Linked DNA regions of Caenorhabditis elegans. The protein of the gene in region 1 interacts with the protein of each later gene in a pairwise test. Each region holds a gene or a part of one and is shown in the gene's direction. Other genes may lie near its edges. The genes, in order: pid-2, prps-1 and cri-3.

Region 1 (9,061 bases):
CGGAAGAGGTGACCAAACTTTTCGGATTTATAGGCTCTAAACATATTTTTACTTTCAATTCTTAAATTTTTAGTATTCATCTGCATATCCTTACTCGATTCCGGAGATTTCCCGCCCAATAATGGATTTAAATGATTTTGATATGATCCGGCCGGATGATTTCGACGCAATGTCCATGAATTCATCCATCAACTCATATTCGTTCGTTAATACGGTAGGGATACTTATTAGCTCGGAAAATAAATTACGACATATTTTGTCTCGAATTTTTTATAGGTGACTTATAATAGACATTTAGTGTCTAGGCACACATAAAAGTTAGATCTTTTTCAGCTATCGTTTCGATACTTTCACACAAAAGTAGGTTTTTTTTCGCAACTTTGTAAATTGAAAAATCAATAGGTCGGCAAATAATTGTTGGCGTATTTTGTCAATTCACGATATTTATCAAAAATTTTATATGTGACTTCTGGTAGAAATTTATTATGGTTGGCAATAAGTACTGAGTCAAAATTCATATAACTTGTTTTGTTGCTTATCGATTTTTTTTAATTGCCGGAGTTCATGTTATTAACTATGGGCTTTCATCTGAAAGTAGTCACAAAACATTTTAAAAACTCGAAGTGATCCAAGTCGAAACAACTTTTTCAAGGTTTACGCCCTCTTATTTTTTCTCTTATTTTCAGCATTGATATGAGTTTATGTACGGATCAAGAGTGTCGGTTTTTCGATTTTTGTATAAAATCGAAATTTTTTTTTTGATTTTTCGATTTTCCCTGAAAAACACACAATTGAAAAATGTCACTCTTGGTACGGATATTGCTAAATCTATTATACAATGTGAGAATCCAATAAAAGTTTTATATTTTATTTTTGCAGCCAGTTCGTAACAACACGACAACAGAATCAATATTCGATCATTCGACACTTGAGAAACGAAATCGTCGAGCAGCTGCCACAATTGGCTCCGAATCGCCAGTTATTCAAATGAGACCAAAAGAGCAAATTGTCGGATATTCGAAATATGCATTTGATGATTCATTATCACCAAGACCACATTCCCGAACTGTTGAGACGCCTATTTTAAAGAATGTACGGGATTTTTGGAAAATTTAAAATTTGGAAAATGAAAAATTCAAACAAAACAATTTTTTCGCTTTCAAATTTCATAAAAATTTATGTTAAAAATAGTTTTTAATTGAATTTTTAAAAAATTCTTACTGAAAACTTTCGAAATAATTAAAAAAAAAAACCAAACTATATTTGTTTTTTTATTATTGAAAAAGTTAAAAAAAATGTTTTTTTTTGATAATTTTACACTGCTCGCCTTCAAAATTTGATGAAAATCTTAATACTAGATTTTTTTAATTTTTCATTTAAGACTTTTCGAAAAATTCGAAAGTTCAAAAAAAAAAATCCAAAAAAAATTTCACTCAAATCAATCGCCTTCAAAATTTGATAAAAACTCGATGAAAATTTTGTGGAATTAAAATGTTTAATTTATCATTCTGAGGCACCACGTTTTCAAGATCTGGTGGGATTCCGGATCTACATTCTTCATTTCAGCGCAAAATCCCTAAATCCGGAATTCCACCGAATCTTGAAACCGTGGTGCCTCATCATTCTACCTTTAAAAACTCGAAATTATAAAAAATTCTGCAAAACTCTAAAAAAATTTGATTTTCGATTTTCGAAAATTTATCTTTTTTTGTATTTAACATTCAATAAAATATTGATGAAAAAATTTCTAGAATCATATTTTTAAATTTTGCTTTACAAAATTTTTTAAAAATCTACAATCGTTCACTTTCTTGCCTTCAAAATTTGAATGAAGAAAAAATTTCAAAAACTTTAAGAATTAAATTTAAAATGTGCTCAAAAAATTCTTTAAAAATATGCGTTTCCCTAATAATTTCCATGTTTCAGTCCCCATCGCCCTCCTACACCCCATTTCACCCGACGCCCGTTCACCGGAGCAACACCGTCCGTGCCGACAATCGCCCAATTCCCCCGCCCCGGCCGCAGGGCCTAGGAACACTGACCCCATCACGCCCCGAGATAAGAGCTCATCGAGATGATATAGAGAGCCCTACTATTCGGGTCACAAGATTTTGAAGAAAAAGTTATACTTTTATTTTAATTTCCGCTCAAAATCGGAATTTTCTATAAATATGCCCCTTTAAATTGAGCTACAGTAGTCACGTCGAAAAATTTTCAATTTTTTTGAATTTTTTGAATTTTTTCATCCAGTTATAAAAAAAAGCTTGCCCCTCAGCTCTACCCCATTTTTCTTTCATTTGTCACCTACTTCCTTCATATATGCCCGGTTAATTATGTATTTTTTGATGCTTTTTTAGTCCCGCCACGGTTTTTTTCATTTCGAAAAGTCGATCGATTATCGATTTTTTCGAAAATTTGGAAAATTTGGAGAAAATCTAAATATTATCGATTTTAAGCTAAAATTTTAAGATTTTATTTTTTCAAATAAAATTTTGGAAATGTTTTTTTGAAAAAAAAAGTGCAAAAAACACTCAAGGGAAAATTTTTAAAAAATTGGAAAAAATCTTGAAAGTTTGTCGATTTTTCAGTGTGCATTTTGGAGTTATCGGTTTTCTTTCCGAATTTTCATCAAATTTATTTTTGATCTACCAAAAAATCTCTAAAACCCCGTGGCGGGAACCTACTTCACTTTTATTCTGCATAATTAGACAAAAATGTGATTATTTTCTCATTTCAAAACTTGTTACATATTTTGTGTTGTGATACATATGTCTAAATTTTTACGGACTGAAAAAATACTTTTTTCTTAATGTTTTTGAAATTTTCATTATTGGTGGCGTCATCCATGTCTATTTGATTTTCCAGACCCCCCCCCCCCCCTCTAAAATGAAAAGAACAAGACGATTGACAGCTAGCATGTGCGACGATCAAAGTACCGATTTGATTCAGTTGAAGGGACACGAGAACGCGAAAAAGTCGGAAGCCCATCTGAAAGTGCTGGAATACATTGGCAAACGCTATGAAATTCGAATGACCGACGGGCGGTACATACGTGGCACGATGATCGCCACTGACAAGGACGCTAATATGGTTTTCAACAAGGTAAAAATTTGATGAAAATTTGGTCCAAAAGCTCATAGTTTCAAATATTTTTCCTTAAAATTATGCGCCGCAGGCAAAACAACATTCCGCCTTTTTCTATTGCTGGCTTAGTTTTCGCAATTTTCTCGGCTACCAGGCTACTGCAAAAATGATCGATCCGTGAATTGTGCAAACATCTGAGTTACACAGAGAGTGGGGCGGAGCGGAACATCGCAACACTGCCGCATGGTTTTTCCACAACTTTTTTTTTCAAGAAAGTTTCGATTGTACTTGTTTTTTCTCTTTTTTGTATAAAAATGGTATTCATTCTAAATAATTCACATATGCTAAATTGCATATAAAAACATGGAATATCCTCTCAAATTAAGAGTCTTAATCTTATTAGAATTAAATTGGATATCATTTTCATTCGAAAAGAAAGAGAAAGAAACAAGTAAAATCGAAACTTTTTTGAAAAAAATGCTTGATTTTATTTCATTTTCGTTGTTTTTTTTTCAGTATTTAACTTTTGAACGATCGATTATTTATAAGGTTTGCGGTTAAAAACGATGAATTTCGTGTTTTTCTTTTCTGGATTCAAATGACAAGTTTTAACCAATTCGAATGTCAAACACGGAAAAATAAGCGAAAATAACAAAAAATCGTGTATTGTAACCAAAAAGTTCTCCACGAGTAGTACACTAGAGCCGACGCGCCGCAGGTTTGCAAAACAACGCCCACCCCGTTTTCTGCGCGGCACTACACAATTTTCTATCTCACGAATAAATATTTCAGAAAAGGCAGGATTTTGTCTGAAAATCATGAAAAATCAAGTTTTTTTCAGGTTTCCAACGCTGAAATGGTTGGAATTAGGGTTTGTTACCAAAAATCGTATAATATTAAAATCCCAGTGCTTCTCTGTCTTTCAGCAATTTCTTTTAATTTCCAGGCAGACGAGCGATGGGACAAAGATCCACAATTGAAAGGAGTCCGATTTCTAGGGCAAGCGATGATCTCGAAAAAGCACGTGGAATCGATGCACGCGTTGCCGGACCCTAAAGAAACTGAAATTTGATCCAGTTTTCTTATTTTCTCTAATTTATCCCATCCTTTTCTTGTCAAGATTAATATAAATTAATTTTTATCGAAGCGATTTTTGTTCATCTCATCCAAATATGAAAAAACATTCGAAAAAAAATCGCAGGCTTCACTTGGAACCGCGCGCCATCAGTTGAAAATGCTGAATATGTACAAAGACTGGAAAATATTAAATTTTTATGTTTAAAATTTCACGTTTTTCGTGTTTTCCACAAAAAAGCAATGCATTGTCGTTTTTCAAAAAACACTCATGGTAAACGAAGTCCCCGTGGAGTACACGACAATGTCGCATCGAGACCCAAACTGGGAAACGCCTGCGCCTTTAATTTTAGGAGTTTAATTTTCGAATTTCGAGTTATTTTTTTCTCAAGTCTTTTTGCGACTTTTTTTTGAATATTTTATTACTTGTAGCGCTGAAATATGACAGTTATTATAGCGTCACACTGGGGACCTCAATCAAAACAGGTATTTTTCAAAATTTCGCCGTAAAATCTAATAACCAATTTTGAGATGTTGCCACCCGAGCCCCCACGGATAATTCTGAGAGAAGTTCCGGTCCAGAATAACCAGAAAGAGCATCCACCGGTTCAGGAGATCAAAACCGTGTCCAGCAAGTCGAAGGAACATCGCGTCAGTTCGAGCCGGAAAATTCCGGATCACTTCGACGTGGGCCCACGGTTCTACATGAATGTCCCCGCAGATGGCTCAGAAGTGTTCGAGGACGACGAAAAAGACGTCGAGAACGAGTGTTGGGCGGTGATCGAAAGAATAGGAAGCGAGGATGACAAGTTCGAGGCCTCTGAGCTTGTCGAGTACCGCGATCACGATTGGTACATCGCTTTGGCGATTAATAAGGAGAAAACGCCGGATAAGGCGAATTATCAAGTAGGAATTACGAAAAAAATTTTGATTTTCAATCTCATTTTTTAAATTTCAGCACCTACTCTACAGCTATCGAGGCGGAATCCAACGCATAATTCTCACGCCTCAACAGACGGATTCGATCGACAAAACGCCGCTAGTGAAGTACAAAATCATCGGAGACGGTCTGTACGAAGTGCTTCCGATTCACTCGTCCCTTCCTCAAACTGGTCTAATCAGTCCCAAATATCGTTACAACAAAGGCGTCGAGCTTCGGATTTTCGGGATAGTGAATTGGATTGATTTTGTGTTGGACGACGATCATCAGACGCACAGGACGATGGTTTGGACAGATGCGGTCGGACCGATCTATCTGAGTGCCGCGGATCGAGCCAATATTCGACGGAAGCTGCTGCTGACCGAGATGCAGATTTTCGCGCCGTTGCGAATGTGCCATATTACTGTCAAGGCGGAATTTAACTTGTTAGTTAAAAAAAACGCGTAAAAAGAATAATAGTTCCAAATTTTCAGCTCGATTCCCGATGGTTCCCCGATTCAATGGACCATATCATCGTTCCAGCCACTCATCGAAGAATCAGAGAAGGATCCGAATATTGGGCGCAATTTATGGCCAGCGAGAGTGCTCAGATTCGATGATTTAGTCGTTACAAAGAAGGTGCTTAATCATTTTAATATTAAATTTTAACAGCATTTATAATTATTTATCTATTTCCAGACACCGAACGGCTACTGGCTGAAGTCTCAAAGATTGGAGGGTCACGTTAATGTGTTCGCCGGTGCAAATCAAATCGGAATCATTGAGTCGGCGGGTGAAAAATACGCGACGAAGGGAAGCATGATGGCGTTCGTGGTTCCGTGCTATCAGAACAGCACGTTTGCATATTTCGAAGCACTTATCGCCGGACCCCCGCGAGTCGTGATGATTATTACCGAAGGACGCTTTCTGAATTATTGCCCGAAGACGTGGCCACCGTCTGTTCGGAAAATGCGTGATCAGTATCAGAAAGAGCACGTTGTAAGCACAATTTTCCAGAGAAAAAGGCTTTCGATAAATTTTCTTATTTTCAGCTGAAATCCGAAGTCCGAAGTTCACCAATCTGCATGAAACAGCCGGATTATTGCCTCAAATCACTACGAGGATTCAGCGAGTGCCCATTTTGATCACTCAAAGTTTTATATATTTCTGTATTTCTTCTGCCTTATTTTAAAAAGTATTTTCCCGTTTTTTTTCTTTTGTTCAATTTTCCCTTTTTCTTTACTTGTTATGTCCTATGTTTCATGCTAAATTAACGTATATTTTTAATTAGCAATTAAAAAACTTTCTGATTAACTGCCAGTTTTTGAGAAGAACCAGAAGATGGAACGCAGGCGAGTTTCTGAAACGGAAAGGGTTTGAAATTTTTATCAATCAAACAAACTCGCAATTTTATCAAAAACCATGCCGTCGTTGCAAGTTTGAAAAAACCACATATATTTGCAACATTGATAGAATATCATTGGATCGTATGGATCCGCCATGGCCAGACCATCATATTGACATGTACCGTTTAATGGGTTCGGTACCGCTGAAAAGTTGTTGGTCTCGCAGCGAAGTACTACAGTAATCGGGAAAAAGCGCTGTTTATTATCGATTTTTCAATTAAAAATCAATAAACTCGCCGCGAGATCCAAACCTCAACTTACGATAGCTTTTTGTAGGAGTCGATTGTCCATCGACAAGGAAGCCAGCAACTAGGAAAATTTTGATAGGGAGAAGCATTGAAATTTAATTGTTTTTGGGGGTTTCGTTTGGTTTTTATAGGAATTTTTGAGCTGTAAGAAAACAAAGCAACATTTATTTCAATTAAAACCGGAAAATATGAGTCATTATGGGGGGTTTTCAACCGTACGGAATTTGACAAATTTGAAACTACCATAAAATGGTTAGTTTTGTAGTTAGAGAACTCAAAATTGATTTTCTAAGACAAAAAAATTGCCCTTTTTCAGAATATAGTAGGTTTGTATAATTTCCAAAAAATTATTTTTCTTGCCCAAAAAAAAAAGGACAGTCATTAGATGGCTGAAAAAAAAGTGGGCAAAAATAAAAAGTGTCTAATTTTGTTGAAAACGGGTAATTAATATATGCAGAATTCAGAAAATCTAGGTTTAACCCATCAAAAACCATTAAAAAGTGGCAAAATTTGGCAATTTTTGCAAAAACTCACAATTTTGAAACTCCTCTAAATTGGTTCAATTTGTAGCTAGAGAACTTAAAATTGGTCTCCAAGCCCTAAAAAATTGTCCTTTTTCAAAATATAATAGTTTTAAACGTTTTTAGAAAATTTATTTTTCTTGCCCAAAAAAAAGGACAGTCATTAGATGGCTGAAAAAAATTGGGCAAAAATAAAAACTTGTCTAATTTTGTTGAAAACGGGTAATTCATATATGCAGAATTCAGAAAATCTAGGTTTAACCCATCAAAAACCATTAAAAATCTAAAATGATTAATTTTCTAGTTAAAGGATTCAAAATTGATCTTCGAACACTAAAAAGTTGTCAAGTATCCAAAAAAAGTGGTTCAATTTAAAAAAAATTGGTCAGGGAAAATTATCGATTTTTTCGCCGCTTCGCAACTTGGACGAATTTTTCTTTCGCTGCACAAAAATCAATAATTATTGATTTTTTTTCTAAAACAGAAAAATAGATATTTGCACTTTTCTGAAAAATCGATATTAAACGGAAATTCGCAAAAATCGATGGTCACTAATTTTTTTGCAAAACCCCAGTAAAAAATCGCTTTTTTCGCCGCATTTCCTAACTTTTTCTATGCCACCACTATTGATTTTTTTTCCAGAAATCTTGGAGCTTCCCAAACCCGCTCATCAGCCCGCGTGCTTCATCAATCATTCCGTTGAGAACTATGAATTTTTCGAATGAAAATTAAAAAGAGGGGGATTTATTAGACTGAAAAAGTGTTTTTGTGCCACGTGGCGGCGGCCGAATTCTCCTGGACGGGAATTTCTAGGCCATGCTTGGGGGAGATGAGGAGATGGGGGTCAACTTCAAATGTGTGTAACAAAATAGAAAAAAAACTATAAAAGGTAAGAGGAGATCAAAGGTCACGCCACTAGGGCTTGAAAAATGAATGCCTGCCTACAAATAGACATGTAGGAATGTAGGCAGGCAGACAAAAAGTGGGTGAACAACGAGAAAAGGCACGTAAAAAGGGGTAAAGGTTAGAGAAAAAGAAAAAAAAAGCTCACAGAGCACATTAAAAATGGAAAAAAACGAGATCATTGGATATTCTGCTGCCGTTGATCATCGTCATCATGAATGATCAGCTGATTGGGGTCGACTATCACATCATCTGGGTTCACGAGAGCATCTTCTTCGAGCAGCTCATGCGGAGGATGATCGTCGTGATGATTTGGCTCTTCCACAACCACTTGTTCGAGGACATCTGGAATTTATAGAATTAAAAAATACATTTTTTAGACAAGAAATCGACAAATTTCTGTGTTTATTTCTATTTTTCAGATAATTCCACACAATTAGATAGTTATTGAGTTTTCTTTCTATAAATTTCAAAAAAAAAAACGATAATTATTGATTTTTTTTTAAATCAAAAACTTCACAAAACTCAATAATTATATATTTTTCGTCCTCATTCTCTTTCGGTTTTGTGTGTGTGTGAGTTTTTTTGAAAAACGCAAAATTTTCTGTGATATTTCTATTTTTTAACCTGACATGGGCAGTTTTTGAAAAAATTTTGCAATATTTTCGGTGTTCTTTCTCAGAAAAACTCGAAAAATTGCAAAATAAATGTAAAATTTATCAAAAATTACACATTTTCGGTCAACCTTTTGCTCAGAGAAACTAGAAAAAAAATTTCAATTTTTTTGGAAACCTGCCAAAAAATGAAGTTTCAGTGAAACATTTTTTTTATCTTTTTTCGAAAATTTAATACATTTTTTTGCAATTTTTTAATATCAATCCGTTCTCACATTTTTTGGTAAAAATA
Region 2 (12,512 bases), on another chromosome or scaffold:
CAATCGAGACCCGATAGAGATCAATATGTAACAGTTAGATGGGAAAATATTGATAAAGATTCAAAGGGGCAATTCTTGAAAGAAGATCCTGATGATGTTGATAATGCTGGAGTACCATATGATTATGGAAGTATCATGCATTACCGGTCCAAGGCATTCTCAAAGTTTGATGATTTGTATACAATCAGTACCTATGTCACGGATTATCAAAAAACTATTGGTAAGTCTATTTTTCCAATTATACACAACTATACAATATACACGATGTTTCTATCTCAATCTTTACCCAGTGAGTTTCAAGGGATGCCAATTTATTCAAAATGGTCTCGTCGCGCGCCCAGCAGTTATCTTTAAAAAGTTGGTGCACGCGCCTTAAATTACTGTGGGACCTAGATATACCGTATATCCACTATTAGTAAGGCGTGCAAAACTTATTTTCGGACACCTAATTTGATGCAAAACTAATATAGGGTGCAAAACTAATTTTCAAACAGGGTTTTCTCATGTTTCCCATTAAGTTATGGCAAATATCATCAATTTCAGTAAGACCTTGTGAAGCAAAATGGACGAATAAATAATGTGAAGCAAAATGCAAAATGGACGCAAAAACTGTCCGAGTTGCACTCATATTTTGCCAATTTTGACTTGTTATACCAAGTCTGTAAGAATTTTCCTGATTTGTAAAACGATTTTCTAATGCAAATTTTCAATTCCTAAAAATAGGGAACAAGTGAAGGGGTGCAAAACTAATAGAGGCGCCTTACTAATAGAGAATATACGGTATTTTTTTTCCGTATTCAATATTAAGTTTAACATTTATTATAATCAAGAGCAACAAGATAAATTTATTATAAAACAACCAATTTCAACAGTAATCTTTAAGGTTCGTACGGACAATTTCAAAATAAATATTGTTGGCGCGGCGAGATCAGTGTGAATGTACTTCCATTAAATTGCATAAAGTAAACATGCACAGAATTGGGATTGGAAAAATAATAACGTATTTGTGCAAATTGGCGATTTTTTTGCCAGAAAATACGGTACCCGGTCTCGACACGGCAAATTTGTGGGAAATGCGAAAGGGTACGCGCCTTTAAAGAATACTGTAGTCTCAAACTTTTGTGGCTGCTCAATTTTCATCGATTTATATTTTGTTTTTCTCTTGTGTCGTTCAACATTTTTCACATAAATGTATCAGACAAATTTATTTTATTTTATAGAAACTATGAAAACCCGATACAAATTCAGCAGCAACGAAAGTTTGAAACTACAGCACTCTTGAAAGCAGCGCATATTTTTTATTTAAAAATATTTTTCGTGTCGGGTACCGTATTTTTGGCACAAAAAGTCGCGGAAATTTCACTTCTAGGTAATAGGAACTTGCTAAAAAATAATCTTCCAGGTCAACGTGATCAGTTATCTTTTAACGACATCCGACTAATGAATAAAATCTACTGCTCCGCAGTCTGCCCATCAAAACTTCCATGTCAACGTGGAGGATACACGGATCCACGTCGTTGTGATCGTTGTCGATGTCCTGATGGATTCACCGGGCAATACTGCGAACAAGTGATGCCTGGATACGGAGCCACTTGTGGTGGAAAAATCAGTTTAACTAGATCTACAACTAGAATATCATCACCTGGATATCCAAGAGAATTCAAAGAAGGACAAGAATGCTCATGGCTTCTCGTTGCTCCACCAGGTCATATTGTAGAATTTCAGTTTATTGGAGAATTTGAGATGTACTGCAAAATTAGACATTCTTTGTGCATGGACTACGTAGAAGTTAGAAACTCTACTGATTTTGCAAATACTGGAATGAGGTATATTTTGTAATTGCATAGTAATTACCTAACATTATGATAATTTCCAGATATTGTTGCTATGGAACTCCTCCAACTAGAATCCGTTCTGCAACTACTGATATGGTTGTACTTTTCCGAAGCTTCTACCGTGGTGGTAAAGGCTTTGAAGCAAGAGCCCGTGCAGTACCAGAGGCGGGTAACTGGAATTCCTGGAGCCCCTGGACGGCATGTTCCGCAACTTGTGGAGCATGCGGAAGTCGCATGAGAACCCGAACATGTCCACCTGGAAATGCATGCTCGTACGTTTCCCAAACTAATCAATTGGACCTTTATATAACCATAGCTAATGAAAATATAAAATAACTGTAAATTTTTCAGTGGGGAGCCAGTAGAAACACAAATTTGCAATACTCAAGCTTGTACGGGTATGTGCGCTCAGAAACGGGAGGAAGAGGGTCAATGTGGAGGTTTCCTTTCTTTGTTACGAGGCGTCCGTTGTAGACAGTAAGTTCTTCAATCAACCAAAACTTTGAATTTTAAATTTCATTTTTTCAGAGAGAAGACGGTGATGGCTCCATGCGAGAACGCGTGCTGTCCAGGTTTCACTCTTCAGCGTGGCAGATGTGTCCGGTGATCACCAATTTGTATCCATTATTTCAATTCCATATTTTATCCTGTAACCTACAGAACTCTTACGAAGCTACGGGCCAATTCCTAATCAAACCAAATTGTTATAATCCTTATTTTCACTGTTTCATTTTTCTTCTTCTAAATTAAATACCACCTCTTTTTATGTTGTTTCGAGTTTGTGTGTATGATTGAACGAGTTTGACCATGTTTTTGATATAATAAATATTTTTGATGCTTTGTTTGGACAGACAGCGGTGGTATTGGCGAATAGATCATGAGACTTAGATGAAACTCGTTTTAGAAACCTTTTCAAGAACTTCGAAAATATTTCCGCTGGGTGATCTGATCGAATTTAAGATGGGGAAAGATTTTTTACTGAATAAATTATCTGGTGAGGAATTACAATTCCGATCTGTTTTCATTTGATCATTTTTCAGGTACCTGATCAGGTGCAAAAAACATTTTACATTAATAATTTTCGTTTTGAAAAACTAATTTTTAAAATTTATGACAGATAATTAACAATTTTTTGATTTAATTATAATTATTATTATTGCCTAAATAACTTTCTGAAATATATAAAAATAAACATTTTTCATGAAAAAGTTGCATTTTGTGTTGAAGAACAGGGAGAAATAACACACGTAAAACGAGTGTCACCGTAGTCAGACGCGGGTCTCGCCGCGACGAGGCATTGAATACTCAGGCAACAAGCCCTATTCGCTGATTTTTTCGTGCTTTTTAATTCTTTTTTCGATTTTTACATGTTTTTAAGAAAAAATAACGTTATTTCCAGTTTAAAAATGTAAAAACATGATTCCCATTAAAATTCTGGTTCATTATTCAATTTAATTCTCTGTTCTTTTTGCCAGAAATCGTTTTTTACATGTTTTTTAAATTTTAGGATTCATATTGCTTGATCTCTTTTTTAATCAAAAAATAATTTTTAATCATCCAATTCATAATATGTCTGTCGTTTTTGTTAAATAGTTGGTCAGAGTTGAAATTAATTATTTTGCAGGGTACAAAATGGTTGGAAAGAGAAACCTTCCGGTCATCAGCAGAAACTTCGACCTCTCCCCAGGAGTGCTCCGCTTCTCTGCTTCCCGACTTCGCCTGAAGAAAGGAGAGAAGAAGCCGAAGTTCACCAAGGACACTGTACGTTTTTTTCTCAATAAAATCTCTTAAACGAGGTCCAGAGTCACCTTTTCAGCAAAATGCAGTTAGGGTGCTAGGATTTCTCGAAAATGAAATTGGTCGTATTATGCAAGTAGGGCTTGCTTTTGCGCTCCCCGACTTCACCTCATTCCCAAACATTTCCTACAAATTAAAAAACTTTCAAGATAAATTGTTTTCAAAATTTATACTAATCAAATTAGTTTTAGAGCGCCAAGCTTCCAAAACTTCAAAGAAACGGAACGAAATTCGCTCTCGGACATTCCAAGACTGTCACTCTCCGCAAGACTCTCACTCCAGGAACTGTCCTCATCGTTCTCGCTGGACGTCATAAGGGAAAGCGTGTTGTCTTCTTGAAGCAGCTCCCACAATCCGGACTTCTCCTTGTCACTGGTTAGTTGAACGCGTATTTCAAAGATACAGCATCGAAAATGGACGGACTTTCCCGATGGATCGTTTCGTATAATTTTGGTGCAAAATAGTAGAGAGACGCAGTGTTACTCTTCCTTACGTTACCTGTATCTGGAGAGTGTCAAGCGTTTCCCACATTTATTTTTAAAAGCTGTAAATTCAAATAAATTAAATGTTTAGGACCACACAAGATCAACGGATTCCCACTTCGCAGAATCGGACAAGCTTTCGTGATCGCTACCTCACTTAAGGTCAACGTCTCCGGAGTCAAGATCCCAGAGCACATCAACGACGAGTACTTCAAGAGAAAGTCCACCGCACAAAAGACCGGAAAGAACATCTTTGCTTCCGGAAAGACCGAGTACACCGTAGGTTATTTATCATCGCTTTTTGCATTGAAAAGGGACGGGCTATCTTTATGGATTGTTTCGTATAATTTTGATGCGAGATAATAGAGAGGCGCACTGTTACTCTTCATCACTTTTTCTGTGAACGGAGAGTGTCAAGCGCTTCCCACAATTTCTGGAATAACCCATATGTAGATAAATTTTTAAAGTGATCTTTTCGATTTTCATATTTATTTTTTGCAGGTCTCCGAGCAGAGAAAGAAGGACATCAAGACCGTTGATGCCCCAATCCTCGCTGCCATCAAGAAGCACCCAGAGCACAAGTTCCTCTTCGGATACCTTGGAACGAGATTCTCACTCGGAAAGAACCAGTATCCACACAAGATGCAGTTCTAAATGTATTTTGTTATTGAATAAATTGTTGACATTTGTTCGTTATTCGTCATCAATTTGTTCCTCTGCCGACATCGTCAGTCAGATTCTGAATAAACTTGGAGCGTGTTAGCAGGTTTACTTGGTTGTTCAGGTGAAAGATTGTCAGGCTACTTGCATCGTTGAGATTATCAACTACGGTAATCATACAAATTTTGTATTCGCGGTTTTTCAGAAAATTCAATTTGAAGAAAGAAATCGGCTAACTCGTTCCAGTGTTTATCGATTTAAATATTTTCAATGAAGGGTACTCTCTTTCACATTAGAGCAAACCTTTCCAGAGAATAACCTCCAAGTATTACCTATTAAAATCTCGATGTTTGGAGGCATTCGAGATCGTCTATTTCGCTTCCAGAAGCACAATCGAAGTGCCCGCAACGAGTTTTTAGGAACACATCCTACATTACCAGGTTAATAATGAACGAATGTACATAGTTTCTTTTCAGATATGTTATTTTTCAAGCTTAATTTCTGAAGTTTTGCTACATTTTCATATTCTGACTGAGATTTAGAAAATTACAAAAAAGAGGAGCAAAGTTTTCTAGTGTTTGCATTTCCCACGAGACAAAAGAAAACAAATCAGAGATTAGTTTTCTCGATTTTGTTCCATTTCTCCTCGTCCTTATCACCTCAAAAGTATCTCAATTAGTTTCCAATTAAAATTCTCATCTACACAGGTGCCTTCTTTGCGTGCATTTATGCTTGGATAATCCGTTTCTTTTCGTTGCTTTTCTCCCGAATAAGTCATGCGTCTGTCAGTTTCCATGTCTCTGCTCGCATACATATATTCTAAGAGACGACAGAGAAAATATTCATTTTCGAGTTTTTGCGAGCGTTGCAAGCTCTGTTTGAAGATGAACTTTTTATTTTCTGGTATTTCTTCAGCTGCTCTTACCTTCTTTTATTTAAAAAAAAATCACTGACCTACGTTTTTCTTGTTTTTAATCGTTCCATGCCCCCATCGTTCAGAATTTCAAATCAATTGTTTTCTTCTTTCTATCCATCACAATCGGTCAACACACACATCGGCCTTTTTCTCCATCAAACAATATGTCTTTGACAAAAAAAATCACAAAAATGTGATAAAACATTGAATTTTCACTGGCTGGTTCGTCAGCCTTTGCAACATACTTTGTTACCAGTCGAATTGAGTTCCTATCTATTTTGACTTGATTCCCTTATAATTTCAGATATAATTTTTTGTTATCAATGTTATCAATTTTGAACTTTTCATTCGGCTCATATTCAACTTTACTTTCGAACAAAAGAATACAATCGAAATTGACAGTTTAGCTTTTGGACTTTGTTCCTTTCATTTTTCAAAATTGAATTTATTTTAAAATTCGCTGAATTTTCTTATTGCTCTACATTCTGCGAGAGCGTTTCCGTGGCAACAAAAAAAGGAAATTTCTCTCAATAACTGGAAATTCAACCCTTTTCTTTTGTTTTTCTTGAAAATAAATTCCAAATTGTATTTTAAAAAAATATCTCCGCATTCAACTTTCTTCACCTTTCTCTCAACCTCCATATTGCTGTTTTGATCTATTCTCAATTGATCTATTGCGAACTGATCTATCCCTCGAGAATCTTAATTTCTCTGATTTTCGCGTTTTTTAAAAATGTTTCTTTATTAATTTTTCCCAGTTCCAGAAGACATCCTCGACCCATTCGTCGGTCGATCAACGCGCCCAACGGAGTCACTTACAGAGCCTCCCGTCGCGACGCAGACTACTCAAACGGTGTTTTTAAAGCCGTCCGACACTCCGAATCAGGACATTTCTGCACTTGGTAAGCTATTTTAAATTTTGAAGCTTCTGAAAATGACACTCCTATTAAACAGAAATTTCGGGCGTTCCCGTGTCTGCAGAATTTCGCGGTTTTTGTTCCAAAAAATTCGGTGCTCGGTCTCGAAGCGATCGTTTTTTAGCGATCGTTTTTTTTATTCAAAAAAGTGTATGCCTTTAAGGAGTACTGTATTTGCTAACTCATCGGTGTTGCGGATATGGATTGATTTTTGCTAGCTTTCCCCAAGTTTTTTCATAACAGCGAGAATTTAGAAAATACAGTAATCTTTAAAGGCGCACACTTTTTTGAAATTAACGAAAATCGGTCGCTTCGAGACAGGAGCGTATTTCTGTGGCAAAAATCGCAAAACTTCTTGTTTTATTGCTCACATTCTATAATATTATTCAAACTTTTCGAGATTGTCAACAAAAAAGCACTTTCAAATATAATCATTTCTAAATTTTACTATGAACCTATGTAGAAACGTACAAATACGTAAAACTTGAAACTATAAAACTCTACGAATAAAAGTTAATAATTCACCGAAAACTATATTCTTATCTCATTTTTCCATTTTCTTCACCTCAATCCCTCTCCCAACATCATTGTCTCCGTCTGCCTGCAAAGAAGAAACAGTTTTTGAGGCGAATTTGATAAGAAAAAGGGCGATTTGTCAACGACGGAGACGACGTGAGAGTGAAAATTGAAAATTGAGTATCGGAAACCGTCCGCAGTTTTCAATTTTATTTTCTTTGCGGAAATCTCTTAGCTCTTCATTTTATTGAAAAGGAAAATGTTCGTTTTTAAAAATTAAAATTAACTTTTCCTTTTGAATTGAACTTTTGTGCCACCCTAAATGTACTCAGCTATACGATTACTGATAAAATTAACTAGTTATCAGTACATCGTGATCCCGCCTACTTTTTGATAATGCACTATAAATATAGCTTCTTCAGAATAACTATTCAAGCCAATTCCCGGCTGAACCATTCTTTTCATTTCACTTTTATCTGTATATAATATAAATTAACCCTACTAAAATGGCCGGAGGACTATTTAAATTAATGAAAGGTATTGAATATTACGAATTTTAAATCGCGTTTTCACTCTCTGCTTTCATCTGGAACTATTAACTATTTCATTGAAAAATATTTGCAGACAAAAGTGTGGATCATTCTCATCTGCACAAAGATCACTCAATCCATCATCCAACTCCTCCTCGTTCATTCTTCTCATCATCTTCTCTAGCAGTACATCCTAACGTTGAAACAGCTCAAAGCTCATCCGAAGAAGATCTCAGAATGCCAAACATTAAGGTAAGCTTGGAAAGTGCAATTCCTCCAACAATATATGAAATCAAAGTTGTTTATTAAATTCCTAGATCCTTCGATACGAACGTTATAAAATTTTCTCGTTAGGAAAGCTTTTTCAGTTTCTCTTGGGACCTTTGGTAATCTTCAAGGACAAGAGAAAGACAACGAACGTTTTGTAAAGCTTCTTTGCGTCTCTCTTAGCTGTTATTATCTATATCTGTGTCGGTTCTTTTGTCTCTGATACTGAGTCTCCTCTGTCTTTTTTGGAATTTCTTGACACAAAGATACTCGTGAAGTGTCCTTTTAGCCTCTCTCTAGAATAGTTTTGGCAACTTATCAGTTAGAATAAAATGAGCCCAACGGTAAATGTTTGTAATCAAAATGTTGCGATCTTACATTATGATTTCAGGTTTTCTCTGGCTCATCTCACCCGGATCTTTCTACCAGAATCTGCGAACGTCTTCAATTGGAGGTTTCGAAAGCTTCACTGAAGAAGTTCAGTAACAAGGAAACCAATGTGGAAATTGGAGAATCGGTTCGTGGAGAAGATGTTTACATTATTCAATCTGCTGCTGGAGAGATCAATGATAATCTGATGGAACTTCTCATTATGATCAACGCGTGCAAGATCGCTTCCTCATGTCGTGTTGCTGCCGTTATTCCAGCCTTTCCATACGCCCGGCAGGACAAGAAAGACAAATCGAGAGCTCCGATCTCGGCAAAATTGGTCGCCAACATGCTTTCCGTTGCTGGTGCTGATCATATCATCACAATGGATTTACATGCATCACAGATTCAAGGGTTCTTCGATATTCCGGTAGACAACTTGTACGCTGAGCCAGCAATTCTGAAGTACATCAAGGAATCTATTCCAAACTGGCAGACCTCGGTTATTGTATCTCCGGATGCCGGAGGTGCCAAGAGGTGAGAAAAATAACATTTTTTGTGCCAAAACTACAGCACCCGGTCTCAAAGCGACAAATTTTTGTCAAATGAAAAATATGCGCACCTTTAAAGAGTACGGTAGTTTCAAACTTACATTTTCTGCGGAACTTGCGTCGATTTACGTGAACATTCAACAGCAACGATAGTTTGAAACTACAGTACTCTTCAAAGGATCTCTCCTTCCTGCATTTATCAAAAAAATGTCATGACCGGGTATTTTTTAATATTTTTTTCGCGTGGTATTATGGAAATCTGCCGATTTTGTTTTCAAAATAAAAATTTTCAGAGTAACCTCCATTGCCGATCGTCTCAATGTGGACTTTGCCTTGATTCACAAAGAACGCAAACGTGCCAATGAAGTTGAGAAGATGACTTTGGTCGGATCCGTCGAAGGAAAAGTGGCGATTTTGGTTGATGACATGGCTGATACATGTGGAACAATTTGCATGGCAGCCGACAAGTGAGAATCAAATACTATCATATCGATCTACTACAACCTCAAAATTTCAGATTGGTTGAAGCCGGAGCAGACAAAGTATACGCTTTCTGTGTTCATGGAATCTTCTCAGGACCAGCTCTCACTCGTCTCAATGCTTCAAAGTTTGAAGCTGTCGTCGTGACAAACACAATTCCCCAAGATGAGAATATGAAGAAGTGCTCGAAGATCCAGGTGAGAACTACAAGAATATCAATTTTGATTAATGATAAAAAGTTCTCCATAAATGCGTAGTCGTATATGAAATGAAAAATATTGAAATGTTTATCAATTTTCATATTTTTTCAGTGTATCGACATCTCAATGATCTTGGCAGAAGCAATCCGCCGTACACACAATGGAGAGTCTGTATCATATCTCTTCTCACACGTCCCGATATGCTAAATCGGTTAAAATTATGGCTTTTCCGGGTTGACGTAACCTCAATATCCTATGTTTATTTGTTTTAAACTCCGAAATTATTGTATTCAACTATTCAACTACCCAAACATTTCCCAATTGCAAATTATATTTATCCAAGATTCGCTTCAGTTGACTTGTTGTAGTTGCGTGATGATTTCTCTTTTCAGTTTTCCATTCGTATTTCCACTATTTGAACATTTGTCCTCTTTCTCTGTTACCATTCGATTCTGCTCATTTTCTCTTCCTAAAATGTCTTCAAATTGCATTCAACTGTTTATCAGGTTTTTTGTGAATGAGATTCTGAACGACGATGTTTTCTTGTGAAGTGTTCAAAAGCATTTTTTGTGAATTTCGTTGAATACACATGTTGTTTCTTCTTTCTTGGATGAGTGACAATTTTGAAAATCTAATTGAGATAGTCAGATGTAGGTTAAAATACATGTGCACAATTTGTAAATTCACACGTACATAAGTCGACAAGTATAACAACTTCGAAAAAGGAAGTTTCAATGTTTTCGGCTGAAATTATCTAATATAATAATAATAAATGTTTAGAATATTTCTTTTCAATTATGCTACTTTCTCAAAAGATCTTGTTGAAGTAATGTTTCTTCTTTTTTTCCCAGAAAAAGGCAAAAATGCAATTAGTTCAATACTCACTTCAATTCGCAAAGTTTTGGTCGTGCCAAGACCGAGTACCGTACTTGTAAGATGAAATAGCGCGGGGAAACAAGTAAATTTTAAAATGGTTCATTCGCTCGGAAAGAGATTGCTCATAATTGTGAAAATCTGTGTTAGATCAGATCATTTTCAGAATATTCTAAAGCTTGCGGTAAAAGTTCAAAGAAGGCATGCGGTCACACAAAAAACCTTCGCGGTCAGGTAGGTCGGGACTATCTTCAACTGGACAGATTCAACACAATTAGAATGATATTCCCATGGACTCATTGTCCTTGTGCCGTCCTCCTGGATCTTCATACAATCATCCGAACCTCTGAACAACTGACTCTTCTCTGTCTGTGATCTCTCAAATCTGCTTGCTCACTGATCTCTCAGTACTGGCCGATCGGTTACATCTCACGAAAATGAAGAGAGCGAAGAACCATTGTGTCTCGCAATTTAGAGATACACATTATCTAACAACACATCTCTCTGTGCTTCTCACTCTCTTCATCTTACTTTTCACTCATTTCGAAGAAATTATGCTCAAGTTTATGAAATTATAAATATGAGAACTTGATTTTATATCTAGGTGAACTGTGTTTAGTTAACTTCATTCAGAACATTTCTAAATAGCTACAGTATCCTACTAAACTTTTGTGATTGTATTCCAATTTTCTCCACTGTTCCTTCTTAGTTTTTCCTTTTTTAAAATATCGTTTTAATGTAAAAAAATACGAATTGAAAAAAAATTTAAAAGAAATAAAATAAGTTACAGCTGAGCAAAGCTACTGTCTACCGTACTCGCAAGTACGGCAATTAAAATGTTTAGTTCGTGACAAGACCCATGGTTCAGATTTTTTGGAAAACAGTGAATCATAATTGAATCATGTATATTTGAAAAATCTTGCCCAGGAAAGCAAGAATTCGTGTTTCAAACTTACTGAAAATATTTATTATTTGTCCTGTTTTTTAATTAATACTGATCATACCAACAGTTTTCATTTTGATTGATATTCGAAGTAACAACATGTTTTTAAATGTATTCAAAAACCCCATTGTCTCATACTCTTCCCCTTCTAAATTATTTTTACCGAAAAAAACCAAACTCTGTTTTCAGATTATTCCGAACTATGAGGATACACCTCTACTTAATATTATTATTAATTCATATTTTCTTACAAAATAAATCAAATGCATTCGAACAACGATCCGATTGCGTAGAGTCTTGTTCTCATTTGGATACAAGTCAAGAGTTTGGAGATTGCCTGGCAAAATGTTCGAAACGGCCGAGAAAGGATAATCTAGGAGATTCACATTGTAAGTGGCTGGTAATGAAATATGAGAGTTTATAACCAAATTGATAAATCGAACTCATATGAATGCATAATCTTCTAATTCTTAACTCAATCCTAGCGGCCATTATATTTACAGAAATGTAGGTGTCAATATCCTAGGTACGCAGATTAGCATTTAATGAGCTATTCTTGGAAAGCGAAAACGGATGTTGTAGATGGTTAATGATGTATCGATTAAAAACAATTTCAGTTGATTTCAGTGACATGTAGAGCAAAAAACTTTTGAAATTTCTAAACACCTGCCAACTTTTTGACAACTCTGGCTTTCTGTAAATACAGATTTAGTCGACAAAAATTTTGATTCGCTCCACTTTTAGTGCAACCATTAATCTTGATGCATCTGCTCATCGTCTCAAAATAGTTTCCTTAGTGATCAACAACTATTTGTCTCAAGTCTCTCAATTCACCATACTATTTCTCAGAGTGTGCACCTGACCCTTCTGAAGATCACAATTTTTCCTCATCATTCCTCGTGCCCGTGCCTGTCAATTTTCAGTGGGTACCTTTCTCTCGCATCTCTCATCTCCCAGTAGTGTACACTTTCTGCTGATGATTGGGGTCCCGTTGTCCAAAATCCCAAAAAGCCAACTGTTTTCTGTTTCTATTCTCTCACTGTCTGTGTCTCTTCAATCACTTTGATGAGAATATCGAGAAGATTTTTTATGAGTGAAAAGAAAGAAAAACGGATTTTCTCTAAGAGTTTATGTTGCCGCCATTCTTTGATTAGTCGGATTTTTGGGAGAAATGAT
Region 3 (8,348 bases), on another chromosome or scaffold:
CTTGGTTCCGTGTTTGAGCATACGAGTGAACTCCACGTAGTCGAATTGTCCGCCCTGAGAAAAAAAAAATTGAAAATTGGCTTATTTTTCAGGAAAAAATAAATATTTTAGGGTTTTAGGATTTAAAAAAAACTATTTTGCATTGGAAAATTTGGTAAAAATATGTGTTTTTTTTATAGAAAATTGTGTCGATTTACGCAGATCGTGTACTCCCCGTGGAGAAGTTTGCACTTTTTTCTGTTGAAAAAACAAGTAATTTCAACATCGATTTTTTTCCTTCAAAATCTACAATAAAAAGCGAAAATTATCGCAATTTTTTGCAAAATAAAGAAGCAAAAACTTCTTCACTAGGAGTACACGACCGGCGTAAATCGACACCAAATTTTCCGGCTGATAAATCGAAAATCTCTGAATTTTCCACGATTTTAAGAGGTCCAAAATCAAGCTTTTCGAGCCAGAAACTCCTGTTTCCCTTCTTTTTTTCGTTCCGAAGTTACAGCGATTATACCTTAATCGGAGCATCTCTAAAGAGCTCATCAACCTGTTCCTCGGAATATCTCTCGCCCATCGTGGTGAGCAACTCGCGAAGATGCTCCTCATTGAGTTTTCCCGAATTATCCTCATCGAAGCATTGGAACGCATTCCGTATGACTTCCTCCGGATCCGTTCCAGTCAATTTTTCACCGAAAAGTGTCAGGAACATTGTGAAATTGATCGGCTGTGCTCCGGGAGCCTCGTTAATCATCGAATCGATGAATTGTTCGGTGACTTCTTTTCCAAGGGAAGCGAACATATCCTTCAGATCCTCTTGATCGATGAATCCATCGCGGTTTTGGTCGATCATGTTGAATGCCTCCTGAAATTGAATTTATTTTAATTGTTCTTTAAAAATTCCGCTGAAACCAATGGATTTTTCGTCTTTTTAAATTTTTATTTTTTCGAAAAAAAAAACGAAAAATGAGGCTGTCACCTACTTTGAACTCTTGAATTTGAGCCTGATCGAACATGGCGAACACATTGGAAGTGGCTCTTTGTGGCCGTTGACGGCGGTTTACGGTTTTGCGGGAGGCCATGGCTTACTGCAAAAATTTGAAAATTTGCGATTTTTGAGGAAAAAATAAGGTCTCGACACGACAAATTTATGTTAAATACTAAAAGGTGAGCGCCTTTAAAGAGTACTGTAGTTTTACTAATTGGATTTTTTTTCTCGAAAAATCAATGAAAATTCGGGAATACAGTACTTTGAATTTAATGAAAATTTGTCGTGTCGAGACCTTTTTTTGATGCAAAAAACGTCTAGACTCCTCGAGGAAAAGAGGAAAAAAGTTTCCGTTGTTTTTTTGTGAGAATTTCAATTTTTGGCCGAAATTTTGATAATTTTTGCAAACTAATATTGTTTTTAGCATTGAAATCGCTAATTTATCGTTTATTAGCAGTATTTTTGAAACGAAAATTGATATTCTCTCAAAAAACGATGAAATATGAAGATGGTAGAAACCAAAAAAATGTGAAAAAAAACTGAAAAGATGCGGGGCGTGGAAAATATTATTTGATAACGAAAAAGCGGTGAGTCACCGCCGCAAAAAATGTTTTGTTTCAGTTTTTTTGTTTCCTATTACGATTGGAAGCGAGGTTTTCGAAGGAAATATTGATTCTCAGCGTTTGTCGCCTTGGAAAGGGGATTTGAACCGAAATATGACACATTTTTGAGGGAAATGACCGAGAAACGGAGAAAAGATTAGAATCTAATAGGCGGAGGGCATATTTAGGATGTCAAATGAGGAAAAACGGAGCGTAAATTATTTAAAATTTGCACTTTTTCGTTTTTCGGCAAAAAAAACAAGGAAAATCAGTTTAAAAGTTCCGGAATTTTTTTGCAAAACTTGGAAAAATCATCAATTATTTTCAATTAATGTTAATGTCAGGGGTGGGCGGCAAATTGGCGGAATTGAAATTTCCGGCAAATCAGCAAATTGCCTATATGGAAATTTCCCGCAAATCGGCAAATTGGCGGAATTGAAATTTCCGGCAAATCAGCAAATTGCCGGAGTTCAAAATTTCCGGAAAATCGGCAAATTGCCGGTATTAAAATTTCTGGCAAATCGGCGAACTGCCGGAAAAACGACAGGTGCCGAAAATTTTCGGCAAAATGTGGTTTTGCACCTTTTTTTGGAAATTTCAGAATTTCAATTTAAATCGGCAAAATTGTACGCACCCTATGAATGTTCCTACGTCTATTTTGAAAAATAAGCAACTTCTATGAAAATTTCTTTAAAAAGCGGGATATAAATTCCAAAAAGGCAGTTTTAAGTGGTTCCGTCTTATAAAAAGTGCCTCTACACATTTCCGGCAAATCGGCAAACCGGCAATTTGGCGATTTGCCGAACAGCACTTGCCGCCCACCCAATTCCCGGTATAAAAATGTAGATTGTTTAATATTTTCCCCCGGCCAAAATTCACATTAAATGCGACGAAATGCAATTTTTTTTTCCTCAAAACTGTAGCAGAAAATGGAGAATTCTCTCCGGAAAGCAGAAAAAACGTTATGAAGTGATTCACATGACTGGCAAACATAACATAAACGGAAAAGAGCGGAAAAACAATCGATATTCTTCGGAACGACGGGAGAAGCAGTGAAGAGAGTGAAGAGACGGAGAGAAGACAGTTCCCATTCGTTGTGTATTTATACGGAGACAGTTCCTTTCGAATGTGTGTGAAAGGACATTGGAATGAGGAGGTATATATGATGACTTGCCGATAAACAAGATATTCCGACGGAATACGGAATACGATTTAATTTCTGGGAGGTTTTGGGAACGGAATTTGGGGTCTAAACACTATGAAATACCGAAAAAATGGTTTTTTAAATTTGAAAGTACGCCAGTTTTTGCCCTAAATGACAGAAAAAATCCTCACTATACAGGACATTACTGCTGAAAAATTAATAAAGATTTCCTGAATTTTGTTTGATTTTTTAATTTTTCCAACAAAAAACCGAATAATTTTTGAATTCCCGCGCAAATAAATGTTTTCTAGATCGGTTTTTCTAGATTTTTCATTATTATTTGATTTAAAACATGATTTTTCGAATTTTAAAGAGTTTTTCCGTTTAAAAAACGCTATGACCTCGAAATAAATACACTGAAGCTTCAAAAATTCCGAAAAATGCCAGAAAACAAGTTTTCTAGACGAAAAAACTTCTGAAAAACTGAAAATTAATGAAAAATCGAGAAAAACCAACGATTTTAGCCAGAAACACGAAATTCGAAAATTCAAAAGTATAAAAATATTCCTTAAAATCGATAATCTCCTAGTTTAATCAATAATCTTCAAAAAATTCTAAACATAAATTTCGCAATGCTGCTTTTTCAAATGACTCATGACTCATCGCGCCAGCTGCGCAGCTCTATTCCATGTTTTTACAACAAAAAATCGATTTTTCTGGCAATTTTCAGTTTTATTATATAATTTTAAGCCCAATAGTCAATAATTTCAAAGAAAACGCACTTTAAAATCATTTTAAACAAGAAAAAATCGATTTAAAATGAGAAAATATGGCTGAAAAACGTTTGAACACAATTCCAAAGCGCGCCAAGTTAAAGGCGCATGCCATTTTGCGGCGAAGATATCTTGCCACGAAAGGCTCTATTTGAATTATTTTCGTCGGCTTTTCGCATATTCTCTCGCTTTTTCTTCGGTTCTGCACGCTTCCACTGATTTTTTCGAGGTTTTTCATTGAAATTATTGATTTTTGACAACTAAATTAGCCTAAAATCAATTAGAAACGCTTTATAACCTGATAATCTTGATTTTTAGCTCGATAAAAACTTGCATCATTTTTGGAAAATGTAATTTTCTATTTTTTTCTTCTTTCAGGTAAAATGAACACTGCTTCCCTTGTTCGCTCCCTGTCCCGAGTGGCTCTCCGTTCATCCCAGGTCGTCAGAATGGCCGCTCCACGCCATTTCTCACAATCGGCCAAGGTTCTGTCAGTAACGCCAGAACTTCAACAGGCCCTGAACCGTGAGATCGAAGCCGAGCAACAGCTGAGCAGCGACAATCTTCAAGGAGCCGTTGCGCCGACATTTGCTGGCTTCCAAGTCACCAATAAGGACGCCGAAGTTAGGCTGACCAAGAAGAATGGAAGCGAAGAGTTCGTTTTTTTCAGAATTTTTCATAGTTCTAAAGTTAATTTTTTTAAAGCATTCTCGTCGTCTTCAATGTGAACCACTCTGTCGATATGGACGAAGGATTCGACGATGAGCCATCCCAGGCCGTCGCTCCAGTTCCAGTAGCCATGCCACCATTCACCGTCGAGATTACCAAGGGAGATCAGAGACTTTGCTTCCATCTCGAGCTTGTGCCAGTTGACGATCAACCTGATGAGTGTAATACTCGATTTTATCGAAAACTCGAATAAAATATATACTATTTATAGATGATTTCCGCGTCGAAGAGTTCTACGTCGCCCCATCTGCCAAGAATGGAAACGAGGACGTACCATCCGAGGTGTACGCTAGCAGTGGAAAATATATCGATCCAGTTAGTAGTCCCAAGAGGACCGCAAATTATTGATTTTTTCTAATTCCAGGACCTCCACGATCTCCTGTTCGTTCGTTATTTGGAAGAACGCGGTCTCGATGCTCGGTTCTGCAAGACTCTCGTCGCCTATGCCACTCACTACGAGCACTCTCAATACGTTGGACTTCTCGACAAGATCAAGAAGTTCATCTCCAAATAGATTGCTTTCTGAAATTTTTTCAATTGTTTTGTTTTTTCTGTCTTTTATAACTTTACTGTTGACGTTTTTAGGTAATCTAAATAAGTAGCACATTTTCTTTCAGCTCGTTTATTTTCCTTAGTTTTTTGTTCTGTTTTGAGGTTTCTCTCCTCCAAAAATAATAAACCCATTGTTTTTTTCTTCTTTTGTAGTTTTCCGCATCCCAAATTTTTTGTAAATTAACTATGTCTTTGCTTTATCTAATTCCGCGTTTTTTCCTGAAAATTAAAAAATCAATAAAGCCTCATTTTCAGATTCCAAAGAAATGAGCGAGGAGAATGTTCAAGAGTTCGTTTTGAAAGAGGACTGTGAGCTGAGATTTGCCGCCGGAGACGATTCGGATGTCTGTCTGGAGCTCGTCAAGGGATACGCTGAAATTTTTGGCACAGAACTGCTGTTAAATAAGAAATATACATTTCCAGCCAGTAAGTTTTCCTCGAAATCTGGATTTTTTTTCAACTTTTCAAAAACTCCCGTTTTCTGGCTATATTTATTGCTCTTTCTCCGTTTTTTTTCTGTAATATTTCGCTTGAAACACTGTTTTCCTAATGTTTCCGCAGAAAAAGCACAAATTTCTGTGAAATTATCGACTTTTAGGTCAATTTCCAAGTTTTAGCGTGTTTCTTTGCGGTTAAAGTAGAGAAATTCGCTGAAACTTCATCTTGAAACTTGGCCTAAAAATCGATAATTTCAGATGTAATCATTTGTTTTATGCGGAAAAGTCTGGAAAACAGTGTTTTAAATCAAATATCACAGAAAAAAATTGAGAAACACCAATGGATTTGGCCATAAAAGTCAATTTCGGCCCATTTTCTGCCATTTAAAACCCAATTTTTCCTCAGAATCTCGTGTGGCGGCGTTCACGTGGAAAGGCGCCACAATTGAGCTCGTCGGCACAACCGAGAGCGCATACGTTGCCGAGAGCACTCCGATGGTCATTTATCTGAATATTCACGCAGCTATGGAAGAAGTTCGGAAGAAGAGAGAGGAACAGGCGGCTGGAAACTCGAATAAGGCAAAAGGACCGAGATTGCTGTTGGGTGAGCTGATTCTAGGCTTTTTTTGGAGATTTTTCGTCGAAAAACTGAAAATTTCTGTGGTTTCTGCAGGAAAATCGAGTAAAAATCATTTGAAATACTGGAAAAATCAATATTTTCAAGGGGCGGGGGCTATTTGCAAGCCTGGCACGGTTGTTTTGCAACCGTGCCGCACGGCCCGCCCACCTTTTTATTTTATTTTTTTTCGGAATTTAAGTAATTTATTTTTATGTTTGGCTTCGAAAAATGTAGAAAAAACCTTGTTTTCCGGTTTTTTACTGATTTTTAACCCAAAAAATAATTAATTTTCCAGTTGGACCAACGGACGTCGGAAAAACCACAGTCTCCCGTATTCTGTGCAACTATTCGGTTCGCCAAGGACGTACCCCGATATTTGTGGAGCTCGATGTCGGTCAGAACAGCGTTTCGGTGCCCGGAACAGTTGCAGCTGTTCTTGTACAAAAAACAGCCGACGTCATTGATGGATTCGAGAGAAATCAGCCGATTGTCTTTAATGTAGGCTTTAAATTTATCAAATAATTCACAATTTTTCCCAATTTTTTCCAGTTTGGGCACACTTCTCCGTCGGCAAATCTATCTCTCTACGAAGCATTGTTCAAAGAGATGGCAACTACACTAAATGCACAAATTCAGGAGAATGATGAAGCCAAAATCGGCGGAATGATCATTAACACCTGTGGATGGGTTGATGGGGAAGGGTTTGTCGTTTTTTTCGCTGAAAATCTGTTTAAAATAGCTCAATTTCAGATACAAATGCATTGTAAAAGCGGCATCGGCATTTGAAGTCGACGTGGTTATTGTGCTCGATCACGAGAGGCTCTACAGTGATTTGAGTAAAGAATTGCCGGAATTCGTCAGAGTATGTCGCGAAAATCCTTGTTTTTTGTTTGAAAGTTAATCATTCATTTACAGCTCACACATGTTCCAAAATCCGGTGGAGTTGAACAACGAACCGGGCAAATTCGTTCGAAAATGCGCGGAGAAAACGTTCATCGGGTAGGTTTTGTCCTCAAAATTCGAAAAATAAAGTTTTTCCAAAAAAATCTTTGATTTGCACTAGAGACATCGACAAAAATCAGCTTTTCAGAGCTGAAATATTCGAAAAATGAATATAAATTGAAGGGGCGGAGCTTATTTGCAAGCCTGGAACGGTTTTTCCGCAGCCCTGCCGCACGTGCTAAAAGGCTCCGCTCTATGAAATTTTTTGCAGTTTTTGAGTGATTTTGACAAGTTTTCTGTATTTTTTGTCTATTTTCTATTGGAAAACATTTGATTTAATCGGAAAAATATATATATTTGAATTTTTGAGCTGAAAAATTAATTTTCTTCACGAAAATATTGTCCCTGGGCCTTTCAGGCATTTTTTTTCTAAAAATAAAACATTTCCAAAGAATTCTGTATTTTATGGTCTAGAAATTCGAGTAAAACTGGCTTTAGAGCTTAAATATTCGAAAAATTATTATTTGAGGGGGCGGGACTTATTTGTCTGACACGGTTTTTCCGCAACCCTACCGCACTTGCGGGTTTTTTCTTTTTTTTGGTTTTTCAGTGTTTTAAAGCCTAACTTGTTAAGAAAAAACTTTTTTTTTGCAGTATTTCTACGGAACCCGTGCCAACAATCTCTACCCATTCACATTTGACGTCAGCTTCGATGACGTCACTCTTTGTAAAATCGGAGCCGAGCAACTGCCCGATTCATGTCTACCATTCGGAATGGAAGTTGAAAATCATGAGACAAAGCTGGTTATCATGGAGCCCAGTGCCGACATTAAACATCATTTGTTCGCGTTCTCGCGGAGCACGAAAGCCGACGAAAATGTGCTGAAATCGCCGGTTTTTGGATTTTGTCTTGTCACGGAGGTTGGTATTTCGTCGAGTTTTTGGGTCTCGAACGGAAATTTCAATTTTATCCAAATTTCAGGTTGATTTGGAGAAGCGAACAATGTCAATTCTCTGCCCACAGCGTACAATTCCATCGAAAGTTCTCGTCTTCTCAGATATCACCCATCTTGATGATCAAATAAAACGATAATTTATTTCTTTTTTTTCCTAATCCCTATTTATTTGTTTCCCGCCCTCAAAATAAATCTCATTCTTCAATGCATTCACAATTTATTGGATTGTCACCAGTGGGGAAAAATCGATGCCGGGACAATGTGAACAATATAGTTAAGTTTTAAAGACAAAAATTATGAATGATAGTGTGTGGGGGGTACTTATGAGAACAATGGGATTTTGAGAGAGATGGGGGGGAAATAAGGAAATTATTTTTTTAAAAACCTTACCAGACAAATATAAACTACACTTAAAGGACTATAGATGACAGCAGATGGGGATGAATAAAACTAGGTTCATAAATAAAATTGGTGGTGGGGAATACTAACACAGAGTGCTGGGTGGGGAGGAATAACAATAATAAAATAATTTAAATAATCAGCAGAGGATTACATCTTCGATTGAGCATCCTGAACAGCCGTCTTGAATGCTCCGGCGGTCGCCTCGTCCTTGAA

What was found.
Region 2: the proteins of pid-2 (region 1) and prps-1 interact in a two-hybrid assay, tested with the Caenorhabditis elegans proteins (one large-scale study listed by BioGRID).
Region 3: the proteins of pid-2 (region 1) and cri-3 interact in a two-hybrid assay, tested with the Caenorhabditis elegans proteins (one large-scale study listed by BioGRID).

What each region holds. Positions count from the first base shown.
Region 1 is NC_003279.8:88,493-97,553, forward strand, and holds pid-2 (Protein pid-2), read left to right. Parts: upstream 1-4,529; 5' UTR 4,530-4,599; coding exon 4,600-4,644; intron 4,645-4,689; coding exon 4,690-5,064; intron 5,065-5,116; coding exon 5,117-5,523; intron 5,524-5,571; coding exon 5,572-5,716; intron 5,717-5,776; coding exon 5,777-6,076; intron 6,077-6,129; coding exon 6,130-6,222; 3' UTR 6,223-6,371; downstream 6,372-9,061. Other genes in the region: mtm-10 (Myotubularin phosphatase domain-containing protein), read left to right, coding at 1-8, 74-214, 880-1,092, 1,927-2,115; natc-3 (Sm domain-containing protein), read left to right, coding at 2,917-3,102, 4,031-4,156; Y48G1C.13 (Chitin-binding type-2 domain-containing protein), read right to left, coding at 6,372-6,437, 6,484-6,626, 6,745-6,820; Y48G1C.8 (DUF7747 domain-containing protein), read right to left, coding at 8,334-8,500. UniProt on the Caenorhabditis elegans protein: Involved in gene silencing mediated by a class of 21 nucleotide PIWI-interacting RNAs (piRNAs) that possess a uracil residue at the 5'-end (also called 21U-RNAs) and that guide the Piwi protein prg-1 to its DNA targets for silencing.
Region 2 is NC_003281.10:7,204,988-7,217,499, forward strand, and holds prps-1 (ribose-phosphate diphosphokinase), read left to right. Parts: upstream 1-4,979; 5' UTR 4,980-5,120; coding exon 5,121-5,214; intron 5,215-6,448; coding exon 6,449-6,592; intron 6,593-7,543; exon of another isoform or gene 7,544-7,629; coding exon of another isoform or gene 7,630-7,660; intron 7,661-7,747; coding exon 7,748-7,905; intron 7,906-8,252; coding exon of another isoform or gene 8,253-8,264; intron 8,265-8,311; coding exon 8,312-8,826; intron 8,827-9,133; coding exon 9,134-9,307; intron 9,308-9,357; coding exon 9,358-9,517; intron 9,518-9,631; coding exon 9,632-9,727; 3' UTR 9,728-10,118; downstream 10,119-12,512. Other genes in the region: Zinc metalloproteinase dpy-31, read left to right, coding at 1-220, 1,403-1,826, 1,877-2,107, 2,187-2,312, 2,364-2,442; rpl-6 (Large ribosomal subunit protein eL6), read left to right, coding at 3,468-3,596, 3,824-4,007, 4,206-4,393, 4,616-4,768; R151.1 (Protein kinase domain-containing protein), read left to right, coding at 11,539-11,725.
Region 3 is NC_003281.10:3,392,709-3,401,056, forward strand, and holds cri-3 (Conserved regulator of innate immunity protein 3), read left to right. Parts: upstream 1-3,876; 5' UTR 3,877-3,881; coding exon 3,882-4,153; intron 4,154-4,203; coding exon 4,204-4,388; intron 4,389-4,438; coding exon 4,439-4,542; intron 4,543-4,591; coding exon 4,592-4,741; 3' UTR 4,742-4,919; downstream 4,920-8,348. Other genes in the region: mlc-4 (Myosin regulatory light chain), read right to left, coding at 1-54, 509-856, 975-1,073; Protein clpf-1, read left to right, coding at 5,046-5,205, 5,623-5,820, 6,131-6,333, 6,385-6,536, 6,586-6,697, 6,751-6,834, 7,432-7,698, 7,760-7,870; npp-9 (Nuclear Pore complex Protein), read right to left, coding at 8,283-8,348.